Cricetulus griseus: one gene and its partners. The protein of the gene in region 5 purifies or fractionates together with the protein of the main gene of each other region. This does not show direct contact. Links are inferred from orthologs where the notes say so. Each region holds a gene or a part of one and is shown on either strand. Other genes may lie near its edges. The genes, in order: Amer1, Ppp2r5a, Lrp6, Gsk3a, Axin1, Hipk2 and Dvl1.

Evidence for each region.
Region 1: the proteins of Axin1 (region 5) and Amer1 purify together in Homo sapiens (affinity purification with mass spectrometry; 4 studies listed by BioGRID and IntAct, with this or other methods). This does not show direct contact. The link is inferred for Cricetulus griseus from reciprocal best matches to the Homo sapiens genes AXIN1 and AMER1.
Region 2: the proteins of Axin1 (region 5) and Ppp2r5a purify together in Homo sapiens (affinity purification with western blotting; 3 studies listed by BioGRID and IntAct, with this or other methods). This does not show direct contact. The link is inferred for Cricetulus griseus from reciprocal best matches to the Homo sapiens genes AXIN1 and PPP2R5A.
Region 3: the proteins of Axin1 (region 5) and Lrp6 purify together in Homo sapiens (affinity purification with western blotting; 7 studies listed by BioGRID and IntAct, with this or other methods). This does not show direct contact. The link is inferred for Cricetulus griseus from reciprocal best matches to the Homo sapiens genes AXIN1 and LRP6.
Region 4: the proteins of Axin1 (region 5) and Gsk3a purify together in Homo sapiens (affinity purification with mass spectrometry; 12 studies listed by BioGRID and IntAct, with this or other methods). This does not show direct contact. The link is inferred for Cricetulus griseus from reciprocal best matches to the Homo sapiens genes AXIN1 and GSK3A.
Region 6: the proteins of Axin1 (region 5) and Hipk2 purify together in Homo sapiens (affinity purification with western blotting; 3 studies listed by BioGRID). This does not show direct contact. The link is inferred for Cricetulus griseus from reciprocal best matches to the Homo sapiens genes AXIN1 and HIPK2.
Region 7: the proteins of Axin1 (region 5) and Dvl1 purify together in Homo sapiens (affinity purification with western blotting; 3 studies listed by BioGRID). This does not show direct contact. The link is inferred for Cricetulus griseus from reciprocal best matches to the Homo sapiens genes AXIN1 and DVL1.

What each region holds. Positions count from the first base shown.
Region 1 is NC_048604.1:74,628,269-74,632,526, forward strand, and holds the start of Amer1 (APC membrane recruitment protein 1), read left to right. Parts: upstream 1-1,458; 5' UTR 1,459-1,716; intron 1,717-4,258. UniProt on the Homo sapiens protein: Regulator of the canonical Wnt signaling pathway.
Region 2 is NC_048598.1:3,652,438-3,656,603, forward strand, and holds the start of Ppp2r5a (serine/threonine-protein phosphatase 2A 56 kDa regulatory subunit alpha isoform), read left to right. Parts: upstream 1-1,366; 5' UTR 1,367-1,509; coding exon 1,510-1,693; intron 1,694-4,166. UniProt on the Homo sapiens protein: The B regulatory subunit might modulate substrate selectivity and catalytic activity, and might also direct the localization of the catalytic enzyme to a particular subcellular compartment.
Region 3 is NC_048601.1:14,385,050-14,388,982, reverse strand, and holds the start of Lrp6 (low-density lipoprotein receptor-related protein 6), read right to left. Parts: upstream 2,801-3,933; 5' UTR 2,581-2,800; coding exon 2,526-2,580; intron 1-2,525. UniProt on the Homo sapiens protein: Component of the Wnt-Fzd-LRP5-LRP6 complex that triggers beta-catenin signaling through inducing aggregation of receptor-ligand complexes into ribosome-sized signalosomes.
Region 4 is NC_048602.1:9,986,737-9,991,011, reverse strand, and holds the start of Gsk3a (glycogen synthase kinase-3 alpha), read left to right. Parts: upstream 1-1,475; 5' UTR 1,476-1,585; coding exon 1,586-1,868; intron 1,869-2,039; coding exon 2,040-2,219; intron 2,220-3,484; coding exon 3,485-3,672; intron 3,673-4,275. UniProt on the Homo sapiens protein: Constitutively active protein kinase that acts as a negative regulator in the hormonal control of glucose homeostasis, Wnt signaling and regulation of transcription factors and microtubules, by phosphorylating and inactivating glycogen synthase (GYS1 or GYS2), CTNNB1/beta-catenin, APC and AXIN1.
Region 5 is NC_048600.1:45,773,066-45,776,565, forward strand, and holds part of Axin1 (axin-1), read left to right. Parts: intron 1-1,028; 5' UTR 1,029-1,109; coding exon 1,110-1,987; intron 1,988-3,500. UniProt on the Homo sapiens protein: Component of the beta-catenin destruction complex required for regulating CTNNB1 levels through phosphorylation and ubiquitination, and modulating Wnt-signaling.
Region 6 is NW_023276806.1:189,295,553-189,299,833, reverse strand, and holds the start of Hipk2 (homeodomain-interacting protein kinase 2), read right to left. Parts: upstream 2,801-4,281; 5' UTR 2,605-2,800; coding exon 2,561-2,604; intron 1-2,560.
Region 7 is NC_048595.1:425,243-427,818, forward strand, and holds the end of Dvl1 (segment polarity protein dishevelled homolog DVL-1), read right to left. Parts: intron 1,816-2,576; coding exon 1,442-1,815; 3' UTR 501-1,441; downstream 1-500. UniProt on the Homo sapiens protein: Participates in Wnt signaling by binding to the cytoplasmic C-terminus of frizzled family members and transducing the Wnt signal to down-stream effectors. Plays a role both in canonical and non-canonical Wnt signaling.

The DNA of each region.
Region 1 (4,258 bases), on a different chromosome or scaffold from region 5:
ATGAAATATTATAGAAAGAGTTGGACTGAACTCATAGAGCTTATTACCGCTTTGTGGAAATGGAATGACTGGCTCAGACAAGAGAGCAGATTGGCCAAGGTCTCACAGCAAGTCTGAGGCAGAAAGGAAAGTAGATCCCACCTCTAACAGCCATGTCAATTCCTTTGCTTCACACAGGCAGTGGCAGCAGTCCAAGTCTCACCAGTCCAGCATCTGGATCTTTACAAGGTAGACAGGATCCAGTACAGCAGCAGACAACTCTGCAAGGGGGAGGGGGTGTCATTGTTCTCTAATCCTTTCCAGCTCTGCAACCTCAATCCACTTCCCCCTCCCCTTTTAGACTTTGACAGAGTTTTCAAGTTGGGATTTCTGTACATTCCAGAGCTGGTTATACAACTGGATTCTTTGTTGCTCCAGCTCACCTGGCACTGGCAGTTACTAATGCCTCTTAATGTCTTCAGGCTAGTTAGAGGCCTAAGCTCAGCTGGCTCCCAGCCACATTCCAGACACAGTAGCCTGCAAGGCTGGTCTGACAGGCCTCCTCACAGTTCCTCAGTCTGACCTCTGGTTAGGACTCAGACAAAACTTCTTTCAGCACTTAGATTTTTCCAGAAAAGGGATCTGCACAGAACGAGACTCACAATTGAAGGAGAGTGCTATGGAGGGCGTGAGACTCATTCCTTGTACTTTGGAAGGTATGGAATTGGGGTGAGAGTCAACTATAGAAACAGTTAACTTCCCAGAGAAGCAACGTGAAAGCTACTCTGAAAGGTCAGCATAGGTGTGTATTCCAAATATGCCCCGGTCGCTGGCAGTTCAAGTAATCTCTGAAAAGCAGTTTCCCTTTCCTGGGCAGTACGAGGCCCTTCCATTACTGATGGAAGTTGACCTCTATCTTGCCTTCCCTAAGTGTGCAGAGCAAGCTAGGAAGCTGTGGCTCTGGGGAGGCAGGTGGTGTGGTGTGGGGGAAGGCAAGTCACTTTCCTCTCTGGGAACCCCAGCCACTAAGCCCTGCTGCCACACTTAATAATGAGCCAGCCACGGTGCCAAAGGGTTCTGCAAACCCCACAATCCCTATGGCTCCTCACTTCCCCGCCCCACTTCTCCCAGTTGGTTTCAAGCAACGTGGAGAAACTCCTTGGTAGCAACCCGGAGCAGCAGCATGAAAGCACTGGCCACGGAAACAGGAATGCTCGCAAAATCGAAACCAAGTTCCAAGAATCTGGCTAGTCCCATCTGGGCGGGACTAGCTCTTCGAGTCGGGTGTGTAGCCACGCTGAAACCCGCCCCGCGTGGGGGCGGAAGTGGGAGCCCGGGCTAGGGGTTCTGCAACCTCTCCGCCCCCTGCCAATACCACGCCCGGCTTATTTGCATTTAAAGAGAGAAGCACCAAGGAAAACAGTGGGCGGGCCAGGGCATGCCTTCCCACTGTAGCGATTGGACTGCATGCCTGCCAATCAGATCACGGACGTCCCTCCCTGTAACTGTGGAGTCCAGGGTGAAGGGGGTATGGGGGAGCTGCCCAGAGCCTGGAGAAGGGTAGTTGGTGCAGAAGAATGCTGTAGCCGAGGTGTTGGCTGCGGCAGGAGCAGTCGTGGTGGCGTTCTCAGCAGAGGCTCCAGCTCAGAGCAGAGCAGCTCAGCAGACAATAACCGCACTGGGAGCTGGACCTGGCAGGGTAAGCATTGCGCACAGCTAGGAGCCATCCTGCTGGAGGTTAGTGCATCCCCGCGTGCTCTGCTCTGGTCGCCTGGAAGAGGGCATCAAGGGTCAGGCTGGTCGGAGTCCCGGCCTCTCGCTGCTGTTTCTTGGAGCTCGCTTTGCGTCCTGTCCAGTGAGGGGCCCAGAGGCCGTTAGTCTTTAGGGTACAGGAGATCGTGGCTGGGGGTGGGGTGGGAGGGCCGGAAGGCGGGCGGACTAGCCTGGGCTACGCCTCTAGGTTGTAAGGGGAGGCCGGGATGGGCCCACACGTGCTGTTGCGTGGTTCCGGGAGGGGCGCTGCTAGCTAGCACCCCAAGAATGTGTTTGCAGGCCGGGAACTCCTTAGCTTTGTTTGTAGTACATTTGCTGGAACAGCTGTTAGGCCGGTGCTGCTCACCCGCGAGGCCTTGCTGTGGCCCCTCCCCTCTGCGGTGCATCTCCTATGTCTCCTCTGCAGAGGAAGCTGGCGCGCTAGCAAGGGCCAGACTGAGACTGGCTTTAGGGTGGATTAAGATATCCACAGTCTGTTCCTCCTCAGGGGAGCACAGTTGGGTTTCTGAACTTCCCACTTATCCTTGGAACCTTGGTCCTGTGGTCCCAACTAGCCGCACCCCCTCCTGGGCCTCCAGTCTCATTTGGCTCCCACCCCCATTGCAGGCGGGCTGGACTGGGAGCTCTTACTGGTCCTTGGGTTAAAGCTGCAAGGCCGCTTTGTTGCCGCCCCCCTCCACCCTGCTCGTCTCTTTTCCCTTGTAGGGCATAGGGCGCGTTTTTCTCCCCAGCCTTTGGTTTAAAATAGCAATGGGCACAATATCGTGGGGGGATTTCCGTGCTAGAAGCGGAGGGGGCAGTCATTGTAGTAAAGAACACACGGTGTCTGTAAGGCAGACAAATCCTACAACTTCTCAGTTACTTAAAACACCCAGCCTTCAGACTGCTGTCATTGTCTGCTGCAGACACCTTTGACACTGGTGACCGCCCAAAGGCGTGACTTCTTCTGAGCTCCCTTTTGAGGGGCTAAGCTTGCCAGATGAGCCATGGGTAGGGGGGAGGCAGAGGCGGCAGCCGGACTAATACAGCAGAGCCATCCTCCCCCTTGCTGGACTCGCCTTGATATGAGTCTAGACAGCCCTGTCCGCATACAAACATCTTCTGCGGCTCTGGCCCGCCTGCCTTGGCAGCGTTGGCATGGACGGGACGCAGGACACTGCATTGTTGGACTTCCTACCCTACCACAGGAGATTCCAACAAACCCCCCCCCAAGTGCAGTACTCATGTGGCCTACGATGCACCATTCTGGACTATTCAGGCATTCCTGAAGAATAAGAGAGGGGGTTTGACTAAGGGACTTTGCAGGCTGGACGTCTTTGGAGTGGGGCAATGAGACCCAGTAAATCTCTTACTTGGGAAGGTTAGCATGGAACCTTCGTGATAGCAGCCAGGATTGCAGATACCACACTATTGGCAGCCCTACCTATGTTTACCAGACCTCAGCACAAACCTCTACTTGCAGCTGGACTTTTATATCCTACGTCTGGCTCTCTTCTGCTTTTACTTCAGCACAGCAGCCACATTTCCTACCTGCAGACACTCTCACCCTACCCCTGTCCAAGTCCTTTTCCTTTCAGGCCCCAGTACTCAACCAGCTTTTTCCTTGGGACATTTCAGGCTGCTTCTTGAGGACCAGACCCCTTTCTTGGAACTCCTGTATAGTTAAATTTCCCTAACTGCTTTGCCTCATATAGTTATCTAGGTTCTCTCAGAATGCTCATAAGAGTAAATAAATCTTTGACTTCAGCAATAACTCTCTCAGAGCCTGGCATTATAAAGCAGTTGATGGATGGATGTTCCAGAAGGACTTGCTGTCTTTTTAGAGTTTTAGAAAACACCTTTAGCCTTAGTTTGTTTGTCCCAATACATTAAACTTAAGGAAATGGTGCCCAAGGCTCGAGTGAGTGAGTGTGTGTGTGTGTGTGTGTGTGTGTGTGTGTGTGTGTGTGTGTGTAGGTGTAAGTGGGGATTGGGTTGTTACTACATTAAAAAAGAAAGTCATAATCAGTCCCCTCTATAATAACCTCAAGGTATGGACTGCTCAAACGCTGGGGCTCTGCATACTTTTGGTTGCTGATTCATGAGCCTACAGGCAAACTGCCATTGAAGAGATTTATATATGCAGTGGAGTGTCATCTTGTAAAGCAGCTGGGAAGTACAGGAGTTTGGTCCTGGAAGGGTAGATAGAATTAGAAATGAAAGGGAGTGGCCAGCAGGCAGCATGAGTCTGCTTGAGATGGCATAGCTCAGAGGTACAAAAGAGGTTAGGACCCAGTACTGGGAATTCCCAAATAGCAAACATTGGAATGTGATCTAATCTTTTTAGGGGGAGATCATTGAACAATGGGTGATTAGGGTGTGTGTATGTAGTTTTGATTTTTGCTTTTTTGGGGGGGAGAGGACTTGTTTTGAGACAGGGTCTCACTGGGTAGATCCAGCAACTTGGTTTGTAGGCCAGTGGCCTAGAACTTATTGACAGTTGCCTGTCTTGAATGTTAGGATAAAA
Region 2 (4,166 bases), on a different chromosome or scaffold from region 5:
GAATCTCCACCGAGATCTGAACTTGACTACGGATGACCGAAGGCCTTCCAGCCGAAGGGGTCAAACGGGGCTAAGTTCGAAACGGAGAACTTCTTCTCAGAGGGCGTGGACCCGCAGAGTTCTCTGAGGTGGCAGAGGCGAGCTCGCCCAAACCCCAGGCGAGAGCAGCGCTCAGAGCACCGCGGCGGCGCCCAAACCTCGGGCGCTACAAAAGCCTCCCAAACCATCAACTACGCGGTTTCGGACCCGAAGGACCAGGGCCCGCCCAGGAGCCCAGCACCGCGTCCCGATTGGACGAGCTCACTCCTCTCCACCCGTCAATCACATGGCTGTGACGCCACCTTCGCTTCGCCCCGCCCCGCCCCGCTGACGCCACAGTCGGCCTTCTTAGGTCCTCTCTGGCCGTGCCCGCCGCGCCTCTGCTTCCCGAGCTGCTGGTCTCCTTTTCCGTTCTCCCTCTGTCAGGAGCGCAGCGCGGGCCGGAGCCGACGGCGGCGTTTCCCCGCGCCCGTCCCTCCGGAGAGCGTTCCTCGCAGTTGTGACGCACAGGCACACCCCGCCCACCCGCTCACCGCCTCCACTTGCGATTGGCTGCAGCCCGCGTCTGTCACGCAGCACCCCCCTCCCTCCCCGCGCTGGACTCCCGAGAGACATCCGGGAGGCCACGCCCCGTCCCCGCTTCGCCCTGTGATTGGCTGAGGGCACTGGCATGCTTTCCCGCCCCGGCCCCCTCCGGAGCCTCGGGAGGCCCGTGGGACCCCGCGGAAGTTGTCGGCCAAACCCCTCCCTCCGCCCCCCCCCCCAGGACCGCCCCCGGGCCGCGGGAGCGCGCACGGCAAGCACGCGCACGGCGCCCCCTGCCCGCCCCACCGCCGCCGCAGCCATCCGCCGCCGCCGCCCCGCGCCGTCCCAGCCGCCCGCTCGAGTTGTAGCAGTCGCTCGCCCGGCGTGCTCCGTGGGCGTCGTGTGCGCGCGGGGGAGCAGAGCCAGGGCGACGCTCGCTCGCAGGGTCCGGGCGCGGGTGGCCGCCGCGGCGCGATGAGGGGCGCGGCGCTGACGGACAGGCAGGGCGAAGCGCTCGGCGGCGGCTCGCGCGGACCGGCGATGGCAGCAGCGCCCCGGGAGGAGGCTCCCGGCCGGGCGGACGGCGCGGGTAGCGGCCTCTGAGGAGCCGCCGGGGCTCCGCGCGCTGAAAGGGGGCGCCGAGCGCGCCCGCGGTCCGCACCCCGCGCTCGCCCCCAGCCGTCGTCCAAACTTCGGGCTCACCTCCGCCCGCCGCTCGCCCGCTCGCCCCCCCTCGGCGGGCGTCCAGCACACTTGTGGCGGCCGCGCCGCGCCCCCCTCCCCCCCCCCGTCCGCCGGCCGGGATGCGGCCGTGAGGCGCTGTCGGGCGGGGAGCAGCTCGCGGAGCGCCAGGCGGCGCGCCCGGGCCCGGGGCGCAGGGGCGCAGGCTCGCCGCGCCCGTCCCTCGCCGACTCCCCGGGCCAGCCGGGCTCCCGGGCCGCGGAGATGTCGTCGCCGTCGCCGCCCGCGCCGGTTTCCTGCGCCGCCGCCATCTCGGCCGCGGAGAAAGTGGACGGCTTCACCCGGAAATCGGTGCGCAAGGCGCAGAGGCAGAAGCGCTCGCAGGGCTCGTCGCAGTTCCGCAGCCAGGGCGGCCAGGCGGAGCTGCACCCCCTGCCCCAGCTCAAAGGTAAAGCCGGCGCGCTCGCCCGCCCGCCCCCAGCCTCCCCCCCCACCCCGGCGAGCCCCGCACCTCTTCCCACATGCCCCCGGTGGCGGCCCCGGGGACCCCGACTCCCCACTCGGCCGAGCCTCTGCCCTGGCTCCCCCCAGGCTTCGCCAGCTGCTGCTTCACTTTCTCTGCTCGCCCCTCGGTCGCCAGACCCGGGGTCCGAGTGCGCTGGCTGCTGCCCCGAGTGTGGAGAGGCGTCGGTGTCAGCCCCCAGAAGACCGCGGGTGTCTCTGGAGAGGTGTGCGGGGAGGACTGTGTCTGTGCCGTGCACCGGCAGCTCGGTTCCCGCGGCTGTGCCTGCCGGCACCTCGTGAGTGAGGTTTTGCACGGTGGTTCAAATTGGTGTGGTGCCCAATGCCTTGCAGGAGTGCTTGGCACTTCTTTTGGCTCACTTACTTTTCCCACTGGGTTTGGGGGCTTTTCACGAAGTTGTTTTCCTGGCGCTCTTGCTTGTCCTTTTGAGAATTACTTGCATTTGGTTTAATGGTCTTAACGCCTTTGCGTCTTATGAGCTGGATGTCACTGTGGGAAGATAATTACGCTCCTAGGTATTTGAGAAATTCTTGCAAACCTGATAGGAGTCTAGAGAATGATTTACAAGGCCAACAAATTAAGGGCTCATGCCTAAATAGATAAACGATCAGCAGAGTTTTCAGTGCGTTTGACAGAGATCCAGCATCCTTTCTTTCAAGGCCAGTCTGGTTCTGATTTGTCTTTGGGTCTGTGAATCCTAACTTAGTCCGTCAGGCAAGGAAGGAGTGTAAAGAAAATCCCAGCTCAACAGTTGACCAACAACAGATTGGGAACCCCGTTCAGACCCGACATCTGCCTCTTGGGGTGCGTCTGAGTCAAGGACACACCACAGCGGACTTTTGAAAAGAGTGTATAAATGTTCAATGTGTATTTCCTTTGTTGTTGACATACTAGGATTGTTTGAATTGATAACAGCGCGGTCAGTGGAGTGCAGCCATAGCCGTGAAACAATCCTGTCTTACCTGTTAGGCTATTGAATCACTATTCAGAGGTTTAAGTTTTTATACAAAAGTTATTTTGTACTTGGTTGTTTTTCATTAGTTTATCGAGTTATTTTTAGCTTGAAGTCTTGATACTAGTATTTTTCTTTCATATTTAATCCTCTCAAGTGAGTTATTCTTGTTCTTCATATTGTACTTTAGTGCTTTTACCTAATAATTTGATTTTAAACATCTGGTTAGTCTCAAGAGCTGCAGTTTTAATAGGTCTTTGCCTTTAAAGCTGACAGAAATTTATAGAATCACTAACCCTATTCTCAGTACATGGGGTCTGACTCAAGAAGTTGCAGGTACCATAAGTTGCGTTTATGTACAGAATTTGGTCAGTAGTAGAAAAAAAGTTGAAACTCCAGACCGATTTTAGATATTTGTTTGTGTTCTATTCCTAAAGGTGTTACTCGCTATAAACTGATGAAGATTCAATTGAGGAAATAAAACTTTTACTTGGAAATAAAACCCTAGAGTAGGAAAAAGAACTTTTACTGTAGTTGCCAAAATGCTTTGAAAAATTGAATTGTTTTACTTGGTACTTTGGCAGTGCCCTTGATACAACAGTGTTGCATGTTTTTTCTGCCAGTAGTATTTCTCCCCCACTTAGGGGTTTAACAAAAACACCACCAGAAAGCCCTTTAGTATGAAAGAGAATTCTTCCTGCTCTGAAATACAGTCTTACTGTGGAGTGATTCAGATATCCGTGGGCATCCGAGATCTTTCAAGTATTTATATCAACCTGCTTACTCTACACTTTGTCCACACGGATCCGGACTGGAAAGATGCCAAGTAGTTTTCTTAAAAGCAGACTGTGAGTAAGGATTAACAAAACAGTACAACCTTTTCAGTTTATTTTTGCAAAATCATGTAGGTGAGTGGGCTGCATGATTTTTAATGTTGAAAACGTTCAAAATAAATAGTAAGTTCCTCTGAGCTGGGTGCTGGGAAATAAAATTAGGAAAATTATATATGAATCTTTTTTTTTTTTCTGGCCTGGCAACTTACATTCATGTAGGATGTAATTTTTTTTTCACCTAAAACTTGCTATTTGATAATGAATAATTAGGAAACTTGTCATTTAAAATAGGTAGTCTTTCAGTGTCTCTAGTCTGTTTTGTTTTAAATTTCTGGGAGGATTGGCTTGGTAAAACAGCTGATTGCTTATATGTATAATAACAGCTTAGTATTTCAAATGGTTATCTTTAAAAAGACAAACCAGTGTTGTCCCTGACAACTGGAACAACCCAAAATGTGTATTGTTGACCCTTGTCATCTGCCTTTTCACACCTACTGTGGTTTTGCTGTTATTTGACAGTCTAGGGCTCAGTATTTTCACAAATATCTTTCTTTGGTTGACACTAGTAACTATTTAGGAGACAGTTGAGGCTTAAGAAGGTTAGTTTCAGGCG
Region 3 (3,933 bases), on a different chromosome or scaffold from region 5:
AATCTAATAGAGCACAGCCCTACCTGCCTTATTTGCAGCTATACATACGCACAGGAGAAGCTCCTCTGAGAACACTTGCGGGGGAATGGAGTAAATCCCTGCTCTACCTTTATCTACCTGGCAGATAATGCCCCTGCTCCTTGCAAATGACCACAATACCATCTACTTTAAGCAATCCTGGATCTTAAATTAAATCTTTAATTGCCAACACCCATAAATAATCAAAAGTTTTCACTCACACAAAAATAACATATATAGCCATGTGTTGTGCACTCAGGAGGCTGAGGAAGGAGAACAGTTGCATTTAGAGGTCAGCCTGGGTAACACAGAAAGATCTTGTCTTTAAAACTTTTAATTAATATTTGGAAAGCACTTTATATGTTACTTCATTAAACACACCTAATAACCCTGCAAATCAGACAGACAGGTATCATTACCTGTGTTTTACAGGTAAACTGAGGCCGAGAGAAATAGAGCAGGGATAATGAAGATCTAACTTTAAACTCAAGACTTCAGGGTGAAATCCTCAAGTTTCACATTTTTCCCAATATACCTGTCGATTGATAATAGGAGTAGGGAGTGACTCTGATACTGGCAGTAGTAAATGACTCTCAACTGCTGATAAACAAGGCTGCAGGGCCAAAAGTCCCAAACCCACACACCCAGTCTGAAAGTGCCACCTTTTCTTCAACTACAAGGAACTAAACTTTGCTCCTGGGAAACCAAGGGTAACTAACTGTCATTTATAACAGAGGATAACATTATCAAGGAGTAAAGAGAATTTAAAGTAGGAACAAGAATGTTTTATATCAAAAGACAGTTTCAGTTGAAATGATAGCTACAATTAAATAGTAAACAGAAGATCTCCTCACACCATTATTATGCTAAATTTAAAGGCAGCTCCACTTTGGACTGTTATTTCTTCTTGGGCTTGTTAGCATCATGCTCCTAAACTATTCGTGCTTCTCAACTATCACCACAAATACAACCAAGTAATGTATCTACTCAACTCTAGACTCAACCCTGATATCAAAACAAATAGCATTTGCACCACACCATGCCCGGCTAAGAACTGCAACTAGCCATCCTAGGTTATGGATTTGGCTTTTCCCAACTCTGATCAAACCACTGGCTCTTACATTTAACTCTTATGAACCTGTCAATTATATTCTCATGTCAACTGCAACTTTCTCGATGCTATAGCAAAATCTCCTTTTTTTGTAGACTTTACTATAACAAAATAAACATGTATTATTAAATCTCTCAAGTATCTAATAATATAAAGTTCTCTACCATGAAAATTAAACAGCAATTATCTTTCTGGAGTGTACAAGTAGGACTAGACAATTTGGAACAAAATGCTTATTTTTAGAAAATGCTTGCCTATTTTTAAAGGCTACTACTCTTATTCACATACCCAGAGATGACACACCTGTCCGGTTTATAAGATGTTAGTTACTATCCTGCTTTGCCAACTTCCTTACTTCCAGAGGAGTTAAAAGTTTAGCTTGTTAATAACTAAGAATCCCGGAGAGGTCCCATTAACTGGCACAGGTGAAATGAACAAAAGCAGAACTACAAGCCACAGCGTCAAGAGACGCCTAAATTCCTGCACAGGTGAAACACTCAACAGCATCAGCCCCACCTCTCACCAACTGGAGAAGACCATCGACAAGCTTTCCCTTTGCAAACTGTCGCTCGACAGGACGTAGGTGTCAGCTTCGCAGTCCAATTCCAAACACTAAATTTAGGCGATTCCCACAGCAAATTACCCAGGGCATTCTGTTATTTACTCAAGTGCCAAGCAGTTCCCAGGGGGTGCCCAGCAAATGATCATTTAGTTCCCAGGATAAGCTCCTCGCCACACGAGGATGACTCCCCTACTTGGTGCCAACTGTACACTGCACAAACGGAGACAGGGGGCGAGTCCTGAAGACCAGGGGTTGCGAGGGCAACGTGTGTGTTTTATTATGGGCTCAGAAGAGTCCCCGATGCTGAAAAGCGCGACCTATAACCCTAGAGTCAATTTCCAACTGTGCTCCCACCCAGGATCATTCTATCCCAAACGGAAGCCAATTATCAGTTGTTACAAGGCCTGGAGGGGAGAGGGGGAAACAGTGAGGTTTGGAGAAGAAGAAGAAGAAGAAAATAAAAAGTTCACCTAAGAGACACGGGAAAGGTGGGGGCTTCGAGGGAGGGAGGGAGGGAGGAGGAGGAGGTCAACACCGACGGTGCCGAGAGCCCCACTACAAAAGACCCTTTTCTGCCCGGGAGTGCAGGCAGAGCGAGGCACAGTCGGGGTGCGGGGGGTCGGGGGGGGTCCCCCCGAGGCCCGCAGCTTTGTCCGGCCGCGCCGCGGGGCCGGGCAGGGGTGTGCGCCGTGGCCGGGCGCGGCCCCCCGATCGCGGGCCCCCTTGCTCGCGCGGCTCCCCCAGCACCAGGCCTCGGTTCCCCGCCGCCTCCCCTCCCCTCCCCCCCCCGTCCCCGACCCCGGCAACTCTGCCACCGGGGCCTCCTCGCCTCACCTCTCAGCAGCACGCAGAAGCTGCAGGCCAGGAGGCTCCTCAGCACGGCCCCCATCTTCCCCGCTCGGCGCGCGCTCGCGGCCCTCACCGGCGTCCGGCGGCCAGGGGACGCGCGAGCGAGGAGCCGGGGCGGCCGCCGCAGCGGCGGGTCTGCACGCTCATGCTCTCCGCGGCCGGGAGGAGGAGAGGAGGAGGAGAAGGAGGAGGAGGAGAAGAAAGGAAGGGAAGAGCGCACGTCAGGGCTCTAGCGCGCCGCTCCGGCCCGGGCTCGCGCGACGCCCAGCGCCTGCCCCATGCCGCCGCCTCCTCCCGCGGCGCCCCACGTCCGCGCGGCGCCTCATTCAGCCTCTTCCTCCGGCCGCGGCGCAGGGATCCGCCGCGGGGCCGCCGCCGTCTCCCTGCGCGCCCGACCCGCCCCCCCCCACCTCCTCAGCGCGCCGCCGCCGGACCCGGGAGCCGCCACCGCCGCGCGCGCCAACGGCCCTCCGGCTTCCCCACCCCCGCGCGAGCTGGGCCTCGCGAGCCCCGGCAGGCTGACGGGGAAAAGGTCTTCCCGGGGCGCATTCCAATGGGATTCTTTCCCCGGGCGGCGGAGGGCGTGAGGCGACGTCGGCCGACACTGGGGCCGGCGTGGTCGGGACTACTTTCTGCGTCCCGGCCCGTCGCCGCCCGCGCCGCTCTTTGTGCGCCCGGCCGCGGAGCCAGGTGGAGCTGCGCGCGGGACCCCGGGCTGCGGCGGGCGCTGCGCCCGCCTCGGAAAAGAAACAGTGCCAGCGCGGCTTGCGCTCGCTCCCTGCGAGCGAGCGAGCGAGCGAGCGGTGAACCGGGTGGACGCTGTGCAGAAGCCGGCGCGAGGCAGACTTGTAGTGCGCTGAATTGAGAATCGTTGTATGAAGTGATATGAGCCAGACTATTATTTTTTTGTTTTTAAAGAAAGTATGTTTCCTCTCTCTCAGTGTGGAGCCTGCGGTACATAGTTACAAAGTCACCTATATGCGGAAAAGACCAAACTTGGAAAGACAAAAAGATTGTAGGTCCTAGATTTTATACACATTGTAAGCCTGACTCAGACAAATGTCTCTCGTATGTGGATCTAGATTGTCTGGGTGTGGGTGTGTGTATACATAGACAGACAGACAGACAGACAGACAGACGAGCTGACACATATATGATAAGTAAACAAAAGTGTGGTGACTATCTGGGAGAAAGAAGGAGGCTAGTGAGATGGGGAGAAAGGGACCAGCATAGGGGTTAATGCGTTAAAAGAAAATTACATGCTTGAATCTTATCCATCATTATGTATAATGAATATAAGCCAAGAAAGAAAAGAAAGAAAAACAATTTCCTTTCTTTTCCTTGCCTTTTTCGTGCCTTCCCAGAAATGCAGACTTTTTTCTTTTCTTTTTTT
Region 4 (4,275 bases), on a different chromosome or scaffold from region 5:
TGCAGCTCGTCCTCTTGGCTGTAACCACGTTGTCAGAGAGAGGGAGAGAGAGAGAGACAGGGAGAGAGAGGGAGAGAGAGAGAGGGGGAGGGAGAGGGAGGGAGAGAGAGAGGGAGTGACAGAGAGAGGAAGAGACGGAGAGAGAGAGAGGGAGAGAGAGGGGGAGAGAGAGGGGGAGAGAGACAGAGAGAGGGAGAGAGACAGAGAAAGAAGAGGGGGAGAGACAGAGAGAGAGGAGAGGGAGAGAGAGACAGAGAGAGAGAGGAGAGGGAGAGAGAGGGAGAGAGACAGAGAGACAGAGGGAGACAGAGAGAGAGTCCCCGAAAACAAGCGTTGGGACCCGCGGTCGGTCGGTCGGTCGGGCCGGGACTGTTCGTGAAACCCTTGGAGGATTCAGGGAGGAAACGTGTTTCTCTTCCCAATCTGTGGCCCTCGAGGGACTGGCTCCTTTTCCCAGCAGTGGCTGATGGGCTGAGGACCAGGGAGGAGACATTGTAACTCCTAATAGTTTCCCCCCGGGAACTCTCGTCCTTAACCTTTCACCTCCACTGCCAGCCACAGCACTCCCTTTGGACTACGTTTCCCAAGAAGCCCTGCACCTAGCTTCACAAAGAGTCAGATTCCACTGTGGACTCTTCCCAGCATGCCTCTGGCTGCTGGTCGCTCCCATCCCCTTCCTCAAAGATGAGGCTGTCTTGAACTTCATTTCCCAGAAGACACCAGGCTGGCTGAAGCACCGCGCTTAACTCTTGGTGTCGACTACATTTCCCGGAAGGAACTGCGGCGCAGCTAACTGGACAGAGAGAGCGCGATGCCCGCTCCATTTCCTATCCTACCTCTTCCAGTTACAGTATCTACTTGGGGTTTGAGGACCACCTGAGTCTTTTCCTAGCGTGCTTTACAAAACGCTCTACACCTGCAATGCGGTGAGGGCGTGGTGACGACTCCATTTCCCAGTGTGCTTCACAGATCAAGAACCGAGGGTGCACGAGTGCGGACTCAATCTCCCAGAAGGCACCCGGCACAGGAAGTCACCGACCAGCCCATGGGAGTGGATGGGTGACTGGACTCCATTTCCCAGAATGCTTCAGGGTTGGAGGCCGCTCCGGGATGGAGGGGCTAGGATTTCATTTCTGATAGCCTCTGGGGCTTGCTGTTGCATCTGTGTAATGAGCGTCTTGCCCTGAATGTGGCTTCCGAAGTATTTTAGAGTTGCCTTTGGTCAGGGTCGGGTGACATTATCCAGGACTCTACTTCCCGACGTGCAGCGCGAACCGTATTTCCCCCCCACCCCTTTTCCCTCTGTCCCCCCTCCCCGCCCCCCTCCCCCCCCGTCAGCTACTCTGAGGTCTTGAGAACTCCATTTCCCGGCGTGCTGTGCGAGTCCGAGGGTGGCGACAACGAAGCCGACGGCAGAGGGACTTCATCTCCCGGCGTGCCCCGCGGCGGGCGCTGGGCCGGAGCCGGAGCCCGAACGGCGCGGCCTGGAAGAGGCCGGAGCCCAGGGGAGGCGGCGGCAGAGGCGGCGGCGGCAGGGGCAGCCCAGGCAGCCCGAGCCCGCGGCCCTGGGCCTGCGCTCGGCGCCATGAGTGGCGGCGGGCCTTCGGGAGGCGGCCCTGGGAGCTCGGGCCGGGCGCGGACCAGCTCGTTCGCGGAGCCAGGCGGCGGAGGCGGAGGCGGTGGAGGCGGCCCCGGGGGCTCGGCCTCCGGCCCGGGAGGCAGTGGCGGCGGGAAGGCGTCAGTCGGGGCTATGGGTGGGGGCGTGGGCGCCTCGGGCTCCGGGGGTGGCCCCAGCGGCAGCGGCGGAGGCGGCAGCGCTGGCGCCGGCGCGGGCACTAGCTTCCCGCCGCCCGGAGTGAAGCTGGGCCGTGAGTACTTAGGGGCGCCCCGTGGGGTGGTGGTGGCGGCGGTGGCGGCGGCGATCGGGGTCCCCCAAGCCCGGCAAACGGCGGCGGCCAGGCTTTCTTTGGTATTTTTTTTTTATTATTATTTTTTATTTTTATTTTCTATTTTTTTTTTCTCTTTTCCCCGGGACCCAGATAGAAAGAAGCAGCTTGAGGTTCACCGTGCTGTTTCACACCGGGATCTGGGCTCTCGGGGCTCCCGGATAAAGGAGTTGGGGGGCTCCCATCCCTTGGAGTTTAGAATCAGAATTACCAGCATCCGAGAAGCAGAGGTCACAGGCCCCATTCTTCCAGTATCCAGTATCAAGGTCCCGGGTACTTGACGACGCTGCCATGCACTAGGGAACAGGATCAGAGGTCATAGTTACTTGCCAGTGGTGATCTAGGATCATTGTCCCCTAAGAGACAAGAATAAAAAAGATCACTGCCACCGTCCTATACGGAAAAGGGGGCGGGGGGGGGGCACTGGTTTCCTTTCCATCAGAAATGGGGATTTGGATGGAATGTCTCTTTTAGAAGTGCAGACTTAGGATTACTGATGTTCCCACAGAGCAGGGCCAGGCTTGAAATATAAGGCCTGACATGACCACCTTACCCATCGAAAATGTGTAGACTTGTGTCCCCAATGCTGACAGCGAGTTATCATTGCTGTTTGTAAATGACAGCAGATTGGGAATAGCAATGAGCTTCAAATCAAACAGTGTTCTTTTTAAAAAGAAAAAAATGGGGGGGGGGGCGGGGCTGGTTAGCCAAAAAATAGAATGGGGTGGCCTGGGTCACACCTACTATAAAATACGGGTTTGAAGTGGCCGTCTTTGGCTCTGGGGAAAAAAAAAAAAAAAAAAAAAGCAATGTAGGATTATTTTTCAAAATGTCATACACTGCCCCCTCCCAACTGGAATTTGTTGATAAGTTTTCGGAAGGTGACTGGGAATGGCACTAAGAATATCCCACACATCCCAATCAGTGCAGTGTTAGGTAAGAGCAACAGCAACCCCCACCCCTAGCAACAAGTGAGGGTCAGGGCACTGTCAGTTAGCCCCGTTCATTTCCGTCACTCAGGAGCAGTGGCAATGGTCCTTGATCTGCCAGGGAGGATTTAGAAGTTAGTGCCCTCAGACTGTGAGAATGGCCAGAGTTTTCTGGAAGAACGAACACCTCATAGTTTCTGCTCCTTTGAGTGGAAGATGGTACCTTGTGGTGGCCCTGCAGAAGGGGCCAAAGGCCGGGGAGCCCGGTGCGGCTGGGTTATGCACCGAGGGTGTTGATGGTCCCCCACCACCAAGTGACTTGCTGTTGTTTGCTAAAAGGAGAAAGTGGGTACTTACACATTAATGGAAATAAGTTTGCATGTCCGTGCCCTCCAATATGGGAAGCAGAATGTAGGGTTCCTTGGAGGGAGGCTCCGGGTTACTGGAGTAGCTAAGCTCCCCTCCCTGTCCTCAGGTATTGAACTCAAGGTGTGTGCCAGACAGTACTCTGTCACCAAGTAATCACTGTCCCTTCACCCACAGTGAGTTTTTTGAACAGCTTTCCCTCCCTGGGAAAGGTCAGTAGATTGTATTCCCTTTGTTCCTTAGGTGACAGCGGGAAGGTGACCACAGTGGTAGCCACTCTAGGCCAAGGCCCAGAGCGTTCCCAAGAGGTGGCTTACACTGACATCAAAGTGATTGGCAATGGCTCATTTGGAGTCGTGTACCAGGCACGGCTGGCAGAGACAAGGGAACTAGTGGCCATCAAGAAGGTTCTTCAGGACAAAAGGTTCAAGGTACCTTGAGTGGACTGGCGGTTTGGGGACTGGGAGTGACTGCTGTTTGTGTCCAGCAATAGGACTAGTATCTGGAATTTAATGTTCTTACTATTATTTATTAATGTGTGCATGTGTATGATGTATGTGTGTGCCATGATGCATATACGGAGGCCAGGCAACTGTTGGGAGTTGGTTCTCCTACCACCCTGGAATCTGGGGATTGAACCCAGGTCATCGGTCTTGCATGGCAAGCACTTCTATGGACTGATGTGTCTCACCAGCCTGAGCCCAGGATTTCAGCGGGACCTGAGCATGGGCCTCAGGAGAGAGGGAATTCCGGTGAAGTGAACTGGGGGAAATGTAAATTTCAGAAGAGCTGAGAGCTAATGTTTACTGGGCATTTCCTTGGTGTTAAGTGCTTGACAGGCAAGTTCTAATTTAATTGACCTGAAGCATCTCTGAGGGCAGGACCTGCTGCTATTCCTGCTCTATGTCAGCAGAAATGAGGCTGCATGGTAAGGGCCCCTTCGGGGGAAGGCTCTGGCCTGTAGACTCGGAAGTCCCTCTCCTCAACCACTTGGTCACATCTCTTCCAGAAGAAAAGGTCAGATAAGGCTGATG
Region 5 (3,500 bases):
CAGCAGCAAAAACTATTTCCCTAATCTCTAAGAGTGTAGGTGGTATGGTTTTCATCTGGTGGAGCTAAACCATATTTCCTGTATGCTTCTTTAGCTAAAAAGCTAAAGTATTTGTAATTCATTTTTCCCTATACCTTTTTTGCCTAAGTTTCTAGTTACCATTTGCTATCAGAAGGGACTCTTCTTCTAAGAGAAATTGGCAGCCAAGTAAGTATAGCTTTCTGCATCTCTGAGGTTGTTTATGTTGATGCACAGATGCCTCTACATATGGACTGTGTCCTTCCATCACTTTTCATCATGTGGAAGGTGGCACATGAACAGTTGATCTCTTAGCTGTTGAGAGCTGGAAGCACATCTTGCTATGTGGTTGCTTATATTATGAGGCATATCAAGTATGAAAAGTGATAGAGCAGACAGGTTAGTACAGAGACTGTTAAACTTGGAATGTGCCTATCCACCTTAGGATCTGTAGTGTGCCTCTTTGTTTCTGAGTGTCACTTGGGCAAGTGATATGGTTGTCTTTATGTGTGAGGGACCATCTAGGTCACTGATGCTAGCAAATGGCTACAGAGGCACCTTCCCTTCTTTAGCTTTCCTGTCCACCAGACAGTCATTTCTTTAGTGTCAGGATGGGTGATCTTCAGGCCTCATCACTGAAAACATCCCCTGAAAGAGAGATGCCCTCCAAGATCTAGTCTTTCACTTAGTAGGAGAGACATACATTCTTTTTTTTTTTTTTTTTTTTTTTTTTTTTTTTTTTGAGACAGGGTTTCTCTGTGGCTTTGGAGGCTGTCCTGGAACTGGCTCTTTTAGACCAGGCTGGTCTGAGAGACATTCTTGTAAAAGTTTCCAGAAATTGTCTTAATGATAGAACAAAACTTCTGGCCCAGATATGTCTCTGCTGGAAGTCTGCAATGAGTCTCTGCTCCAAGTGGGAGTGGGGGGGCATCACTGCACATCTCAAGAGAACCTCTGGTGTTTCCATGGACCACCTTTCCTAATCCTTGTCCTCTTAATGGTTTCAACAGGACAGATTGATTCCCTTGGGAGCTGTAAGTACTGAGGTATTAGGGTGCAGCGCTCATTGTTCACTGACGCAGAGTCCCAAAATGAATGTCCAGGAGCAGGGTTTCCCCTTGGACCTCGGAACAAGTTTCACCGAAGATGCCCCCCGGCCCCCAGTGCCTGGAGAAGAGGGAGAACTGGTATCTACTGATTCAAGGCCTGTTAACCACAGTTTCTGCTCTGGGAAAGGTGCCAGCACTAAAAGTGAGACCTCAACAGCTACCCCAAGACGTTCAGATCTGGATCTGGGATATGAGCCTGAGGGCAGTGCCTCCCCCACCCCACCATACTTGAGGTGGGCTGAGTCACTGCATTCCTTATTGGATGACCAAGATGGGATCAGCCTGTTCAGGACTTTCCTGAAGCAGGAGGGCTGTGCTGACCTCCTGGACTTCTGGTTTGCCTGCAGTGGCTTCAGGAAGCTTGAGCCTTGTGACTCAAATGAGGAGAAGAGGCTGAAGCTGGCAAGAGCCATCTATCGAAAGTATATCCTGGATAGCAATGGCATTGTGTCCAGACAAACCAAGCCAGCCACTAAGAGCTTCATAAAGGACTGTGTCATGAAGCAGCAGATCGATCCTGCCATGTTTGACCAGGCACAGACAGAAATCCAGTCCACCATGGAGGAGAATACCTACCCTTCTTTCCTTAAGTCTGACATTTATTTGGAATACACAAGGACAGGCTCAGAGAGTCCGAAGGTTTGCAGTGACCAGAGCTCAGGGTCTGGGACAGGGAAAGGCATGTCTGGATACCTGCCTACTTTGAATGAAGATGAAGAATGGAAATGTGACCAAGATGCAGATGAAGATGATGGCCGAGACTCTGTCCCCCCCAGCAGGCTCACCCAGAAGCTGCTATTGGAGACTGCTGCCCCGAGGGCCCCCTCAAGTAGACGGTACAGCGAAGGCAGAGAGCTCAGGTGAGTTCGGCACAAGGTGTCCATTTTCTATACACACCTTGGAGAACTGGCAAAGGAGCAAGGGAAAGATGGTAACAGGTGGCCTTGTGTTCAATCCCAGCTGAAATCTCTACTGCTGCTCTTGTTGAATTACGTGTGGTTCTATTTCCTACTTAGATGTCTTCATGCTTGTCATTATACCTTTTTATATTTGCAGAGTTGAGAATGCATCGAACAAGACTTAGATGTAATCCCACCTACTTGGGAAACTGAGGACGGAGGATCAAAAATTGTTTGTCAGTCTGGGCAACTTGTAGAGATTCAAAATGAAAAGTCGTGGAGGCTTATCAGAGTTCCTGCATAGCATGCTGGAAACCCTCCTTTAGTTCCCTCTTTAGTAACACATGTACTACTAAAGATAGGTCTTTGTGAATTATTAGAAACATGGAAATTCTTAGAAGTCATAATGTTTAAGCTTTACGTTTGAGCACAAAATTCATGTCATCTTTCATAAAAGAGGGACCTGATTGGAGACAGACACCCTAACCCTTAATAATGGGAGGGGAATGCATTCAAATGCATAGAAAATCCTAATTTATTTATTTTTAACTTTAGACTTATTTATTTTATGTGTATGGCCGTTTTATAGCCTTGTATGTATACCACATGTGTTTCTGGTACCCACAGAATTTCTGTCAGAAGAGGGTTTCAGATCTCTTGAGACTGGCTGGAGTTAACAAACACTTGCAAGCCACCATGTGGTGCTGGGATTCAAACCCTGGCCCTCTAGAAGAGCAACAAGTGCTCTTAACTGCCAAGCCATCTCTCCAAAACCCACCTCCCACACCTTACTATTTTAATCAATCTTTTGGATTTTTCCTGAAGGATGAGACAGTAGTGGGGCAGTTTCTGTGTCATTAGTTGTTGGGAGGTTCAGAGATTCAGAAACTACTGATGTCTGTGCTTGGAATTCCAGAATTGGACATTTTCCCTCCATGGTGTGGTCAGTAAGGGTGTAGTCCAAGGGTGCAACTGGAGGACAACAGTGCTCTCAAGTGACTGTAGCTTTGAAAGTTGTTTCTTCACTTTTCTGTTTTAATGTATATATATTTTTACATTTATTCCGCTGTGTGAGTGTGTGTGCGTGCGCGCCTGCACCTCAAGTATGGGGGGTGGGGGAGGCACTGCCCTCAGGCTCATGTGGCATGTGTGTGCATATGTGGTAAGAGAACTACTTTCAGGAATCACTTCTCTTCTTGTGAGTTCTAGGGGTTGAACTCAGTCATTAGGATTGGTGACAGCCTCCTTTACCTGATAACCTGTCTTGTCAGCCCAAGCTTTATTGTTTTTTAAAATTTAGTATCTTGGTTACAGGAAGCTTGTTTGGCTACCTTGGTGCTTGTTTTACTTGTGGGCAGAGTTTGTTTCCTGCTTATTTCCCTAGAGCTGATGACTAGAGACTTACCTTACCATTAATCTCAACATGAAAACCTTTCCCAGGTGCTGAGATGGTTGGTGTTTAGAACCCATACTG
Region 6 (4,281 bases), on a different chromosome or scaffold from region 5:
AGAAGGATCTTGTGGATTATTAGGAGGAAATCCCTTTTCTTGGAGAAGTCTGCAGGAAAAGCCCTGCTCATTTAAGACAACACACACACACACACACACACACACACATACACACACACACACACACACACACACACACACACACACACACGGGGGGGGGGGGGGGCTGGGTTCTGGTTGAGATAATAGTAAAAATCAGGTTCACTAAATCCACAGATTGTCACTTCGGGTCAAGGGAGAGGTCACTGTCGTCTTGGGCACACACACTGTGAGTTAATGTAGGTCCTCATAGCATAGTCCTTGACTATGGAGGTCATTCATCTGTCTCACAGCAGGCCTAACAGTCACTCTGAGAAAGACCAGGCCTGAGCTTTGGGCTAGGTGATTCTGGGCTGGTAGAGAAGCAGTGCTCAGCAAGACTAGGAAGATAATTATGAAGATGTACAGAGATGATCCCATAGAAGCTACAAACAAAAGAACAGTTCAGAGAACCCACAGACAAGATTCAAGAAAGCCCAGGGTTGAAAAAGGTGACAAATTAGGTTGCCTGGGATAGAGAAGGGTTGGAAAATAAAACTATGAGCCGAGACCCTTGAGATCTACAGTCCTACACTGTAATGCCTTACGCACCTGTAATTCTTTATCTGCCATATCACTGAAAGAACCAACCATACTAGGCCTTACTTAGCCCCCGGGGGGGGGGGGGTAGCCTACATTCCTCATGGATTCGAATGAAATCAACATGATAAATGCAGTCCCCAAGGACTTTGTACAAAGTTGACAAAATACACCTCAACCCACCTAGCCAGCCCCCTGGAAGAGGAAAAGCAGCCCTCTTTTACAGTTGTGGATTCAACGCCAAGTTCCTTCTAAAATGCTCACCCCGAGTGTCCAGCAGAGGGAGTCTCAAGGAGGTACTTAATAAAGAGAAAACTGTTTCATTTTAACACTCTAGACAGTGGGAGCTTTGACTGCAACCCCCTCCCCTAGAACAGATGAACAATGAATGCCCGACATGGTCTCTCCTACGTGTTCACATGCCCACTGGCTCGTTCCCATTCTATGTGGTGGAGTGATCTGAAATTTTGTTTTGTTTTGTGGAACGGTTAAATGGACCTTGTGTTCTTCAGAATCAAAGAGGAAAGCCCCTGGAATAACATTTCTCTGTTGCTTTCTAAACAGCCCCTTTGTTTCTCAGAGACTCTGGAAAAAAATATTTACAGTCCATAGGTTATTTACAGCCTCATTATTCAGAGCCGGACTGGTAACTTTATTCCGTGCAGAAACCTAATTCATTAGGAGCCCTGGAACTAATAACAGATTTTCTTTTCAGATAAGTTTTATTTTTTTAAACCAGCCTCTCCTAACAGAGATAAAACTATTAATGAGATCCCTGTTTCGCTGGGGCCCCAAGAGTTCCCCAGCTTCGTAGGATTACAATCTCCCCTCGCCCCTCCTCTTGGTTCCTGGCAAACCCGTTTCCGTCTCATTTGCGATTTCATCCACAGAATTATCTGAACAAAACCGAAAGAAAGCCAGATGGACCCACGCTAAAAGTATGTAAAAGGGCTGTTATTTCAATGATTTCACGAGAGACACATTTTCACGATGAAAATAACTGGAAAAAAAAATCGGGCACACTTTGGTTGAAAAAGAAAAAAAAAAGCCCCCGTACTTCAAGCACACAAAAACACACAGAAGTGTAAAAACTTAGTTGATTCGGGGTTGATTTTTTTTTTTTTTTTTCCTCGCTGCAAGCTGACGGAACTGACTGAAGAGAACCGAAAGAGTGCTTTGCGAGGCAGCCTTACCTTCCCTTTCTCATGAAGGCAGTCAGACCGGGGAGAGCAGCCAGCGCCAGGTGAAGGTGCACGGCGCCCAGATGCAGCCAGGGCCGAGCCAGAGCCCTTCCTCCGCCCCCCAAGCCCGAGCCAAACTACACTCTGCCTCCCGCACGCCGACTGCGGGGAGATTTTAAGCCTATTTCATTGTTCTGCCTGGGTCTGAAATGGACTTTTCATCTCTACCCTCTCTCGCCGCTTGGCCCCTTATAATTGGATTCCACAGCCGCCGCCGCCGCAGCCGCCACCACCCCCCAAAAAATATCGGAGGCTCGGGAAGAATAAAGGAGCGCGCGGGGTGGGAGCGGAGAGGACGGGCGAGCAGGAAGGAGACCATTTAGATAAAGGTGGTGGGAGGCTCGCATCCCCTCGGTCCACCGCGGGTAAACAGAGCAGTCGCGATCCGGCTCGCCCCGTACGCCGCCCCCATCGCTTTCTTTGGGCAGCAGCCCACCCGGCACACACCCCCCGGCCGCCTTCCCCGCCCCGGGCAGCAGCTCCCGCTCCAGGCCGGCTCCGGCACCGTCTGGGCCCGGGATCGGGGCACCGGGGAGGGTCACGAGCGCCCGCGGCCGGGGCCCGGGGCTGCCTGCGGGGCGAGGGGCCGCGGGCAGAACAAAGCTGCGGGGGCCGCGGCGGGCTGGCCGGCAGGGCGAGCGAGCGAGCGAGCGAGCGGGCAAGCCGGGGGCCCCGGGGTGCGCGGGCCGGACGCCGCTTACCTTCGTACACGGGGGCCATCGGGGCCGGGGTGTCCGCGGCTCATGGCAACGGAGCAGGGAACGCGGCGCGCGAGCTCGGCCCCCTCAGCCTCAGTGGGAATCTGCCATCTTGAGCCTGTGTTTCCTCCGCTCTCGGCGCAGCCCAGGCCGCCAGCGCCCGCATCACCGCCTCACTTGGCCGGCGCCGGGGGAGGGGGCCGGGCGAGCGGGCGAGCGGGCCGAGCGCGTCGCCGGCCGCCGCCCACCAACCACCACCACCGCCGCCGCGCCGCCGGTGGCCGCGGCCCGGGCCCTGCGCGGGGGGCTCGCCCGGCCCGGGGCGGCTAAGGCTTCCGGGCCGAGGCCGGGGCGGGTTCCCGGCGAGGCGCGGGAGCCGGGCGGGCTGCGGCGGCCAGGCCCGGGCCGGAGCTCAGCTCCGCATGGCTGTGAGGCGGGGGCGCCGGCAAAAGTTTGCCCGTGAGGAGCCGGGGGAGGGGGCGGGGGCGGGGCGGCGCGGCCGGGCGCGAGCGGGCGGGCGGGCCGGACGAGCGGGCGGGCCCGGCGGGCAGGCGGGCGAGCGGGCGAGCGCGAGCGAGCCGGGAAGAGCCCCAGGGAGTCCGCGCGCAATCGAGCGCCGATGGCACGGATGCGAGGAAGGCGGGGAAGGCCGAGCCGAAGGACGGAGCCGGGCGGCGGCGGGGGCCGAGCGCGGCCCGAGGGGAGCCGAGAGGCCGGACGTGCGAGCCGGGCCGGGCCGGGCGAGAGCGCGGTGCGCTGACCGCCGCCGCCGCCGACCGGAGCTGCGCGGCGGAGGCGGCCACAACTTTGTGTGCGCGTGCTTTTGCGGGGCAGTGCGCGCGCGCGGGGGGGGGTGGCGCGCGCCGGGCGAGCCGGGCCGGGCGAGCCAGGCCGGGGAGCGCGATCCGCTGCCCCCGAGCACGGTCCCACTGCCGGGGAAAAGTGTCCTGGTCCCAGCGCGTGCGGGCTCGGGGCTCGGGGCTCGCTGACACGCCGGGGGATGAATGGAGGGAATGGGCACACAGTCCTTTCTCTCCGGAGGCTGCCCGGGGACAGGCAGCGTCGGGGTGGACGCCTGACCCCCTCTCCTCCAGCATCCGGGTGGCAGGGTCCCACCTAGCGGTTCCAGGGTTTGGCTTTTTTCCTGCGCGCCGCTCGGATCGATCCGAGCGAACGAGACGTTGTTTAAACTCTCCCAGCCTCGGAGTCCTGCCCTGCCATCGCCTCCAACTTAGGAAAACTTGTTGAGTCCCGACACATGAATACACCACAAAACAAATTTAGTGTTTTTGAAAAATCCAACAAAATATTACCAGAATCCAACAACAACAAAAACACTAAAGCTCATTGCCCTTAGGAAGGTCAACTGTTGTACCTTAAACCCTTTGTTTTCACGAATAAATACTGGACACCTGATGTAAACTATATTAATCCCCATCTGCGGATCACAGGTCAAAACAGTTTAAAAGCTGTCTTGAGGGGTGGGGATGTAAAACGACGGCCTCCAACTCTACAACTTTCTTTAAAAACAAGCCCATTGTTTTATTTTTAAGCCCATTTTTTTCTCACTCTCCTTCCCTCCTCTGTATCCCGTGCTCATCATCCTCCCAGAATAAAAGACAAGCCAGCTCCTGCACACACTTAGCTTGTTTTGTTACTGGAAAATACGTTTCTCTTCGTCTTGGGATGGTCCTTGACGGCCATCTTCTCCGCCTCAGTATTGG
Region 7 (2,576 bases), on a different chromosome or scaffold from region 5:
CAGAAGGTACTACTTGCCTGAATATGCCCAGCCTGGGGCCCTCAGCACCCTGAACAGAAATATAAATATTCTGTTTTTAATAAATATATCCCAGAAATAAAAAGCTAGGCATACGTATGCACTGGGACAAAGCAAGAAAGCCAGCAGGTAGATGGCACTCAATAGGTAGGCCAACACCCACCTCCTCCCTTCCTAGCCCAACCCTAGCCTGCGAGAGAACCAAGTCACTACCAGCACCTTGGACAGAGCATAAGCAATGGTAGGGGTCAGCACCATGGCCAGCACCAGCCACCCAGGACCCCCTAGAGTCTGCTCCTAGTACCAAGGACAGAAAAGTTGTCTATGAGACCCCTGTAACTGGCCAGCACCAGGGACAGTGCCACATGACCAAGTGTCTTCCAACTCCAGGCAGGACCAGACCTGAGTCAGTTCTGGACTGGCCCCCACACCTGAATCCCAAGCAGCTAAGCTGGAGAAAAGAGAAACAGACCACACATCAGTCCCATAAAATTAAACGCTTTTTAGTGTTTAAAATAGCATTTACACAGAAGCAGCATTTACACAGAAGCAGCTCTATGTGAACTACCCAGTTGCTCAGACTTTGACACAGTATCTACAGTGCAGACATGTGGGACTGTGATGCCAGAATGGCAGTGGCACAAGCTGGTAGAGAGCCACCAGGATAGCAATGACAGGACAGGACCTCCATCTCCGTAGCTATTGTGTGCGCTATCACTCCTCCATTGAGGCTAAGACAGTATACAGGTGCCTGGCCTCTCTTGTCTCCCGTACTAGCCATCCTCCACATACTTTCAGTACAAACTGTGCTGTCATGTGCTGAGTACCAAGTGGGGAAAGGGACATGCACCTGCCCCCATTGGGTAACCAGCTGCCACCCTCAGAGCAGGCAGACTAGCAATAAATAAATAAGTTAGACCCCACATGGGCAGCCAGAGAGGTTTAAAGGCTTGGTCTAACCCCTCAAGAACCCCCCACCTTGGCCTGACAGGTGAGGCCCATGAACTCAGTGAGAGTAGGCCTGGGTCCCTGTGCACAGTTCTGGGAGTTTCAGGCTGGGGGTGAGGGGAGAGCACAGAGCCCAAAAGAGTCCGTCTTGTCCTAAATGGAGGTCACTTCCAAAAAAGGAACCAGAAGGTGGTCCCTGAGACTTGTGTTAAGGATCTAAAGACAGAGATGTCCCCTCACAAGACTCTACAGATACTTGGGCCGCACCACAGAGCAGGCAGAATGCCAAGCCCATATCCTAGTAATATGGCTGCTGCCCTCAGCCCTTCCTCTGCAGCCTGCTCCCTCTGCCCTGGCCCAGACCCCACGGCTGATCTATCTTGGCTGGCCATCACTAAGGCAAGCCCATAGAGGTCCTGGCACAGCAGGACCACAGACTCTTGCCACAGGCACCACTGAAAACACTGGTTGATAGTCACATAATGTCCACAAAGAACTCACAGGGATTTCCCATAGCCTTTTGGAAGGACTGGCGGCTACCTGTAAGTTCCGGAGGAACAGCAGCCAGCTCCCGGACAGGTGGCCCTCCAGGTGGCCCACCCACTACTGCATAGGCCTTTGTCAGGGGGTGCAGTGGGGGGAGACCTGGGGCAACAGCTGACGCCTGACTTCTAGGGCTACTGCCATGGCTAAGCTGGCTGACTGGACGCTCCCACCAGCCAGTGCTACCAGACCCACTTGGTGCCGTGTGATCTGATTCGCTGCCACTGCCCCCAGCTCCAGCTGCCCGGCGCTCCTCTCGGCCTGGGGTCCGATGGCTGCTCCTTGTGGACCCACTGCTCTTGCTCCCTGGGAGAAGGGAAGAGACAACCAAGTCCACACCAGGCCTAGCCACTTACAGGAACACCAGCTGCTCCCAGACAGCCAGGGCAGGATCTGGTGAGCCTGGGGGTAGTAGGGGAATGGCAGCCATGCAGATACCAGGAGCAGATGAAAGACAAGGAGCTAGGGGCAAATGCAGACAGGAGAGATAATGGGGACCAGCTTGGCACCTAACCCCAATGCTTGAACCAAGGGCTGATGTTATAGCTGAGAATCCAAGACACCAATGAAGGCCCTGTGTGCTCAGCATTCCCGTTAGCCATCTTGGGTTCACCACCCAAAGACCCACTGTCCACCCAACCCCAGGGCCCTGGTCAGCTAATTTTCTTAGCTTCTGTCCGGAAAGTGGTGGGAACCTGAAAACACGTGCTGGCTGGGGACATGCTGAGAGGGACACAGGGGGACCTGGCTTACCGGCCCGAGGGTCCACTCTGCTAGTCCTTCAGTCTAAGGCTTGCTCAGCACAAAGCAAGGGATAGCACAAGTCACACACCAGTCCAGTGCTCACCAATGGCCAACTAGGACTATTGTGGGTCAAGCTGAGCTTGGGTGCATGCAAGGGCCTGTTCAGGATTAGGAGTCACTCAACAGCTTCCCCTTGGGCATTGCCACCCTCTGGCCCAACCTCTCCTTTCTCCCATCCTATGTCCTCAAAGGTGACTGTCTCGAGTCTTTCTCCAGACCGTGTAACATGGCTGCTGTGCTCCACTCTGCCTAAGATGCCTGCT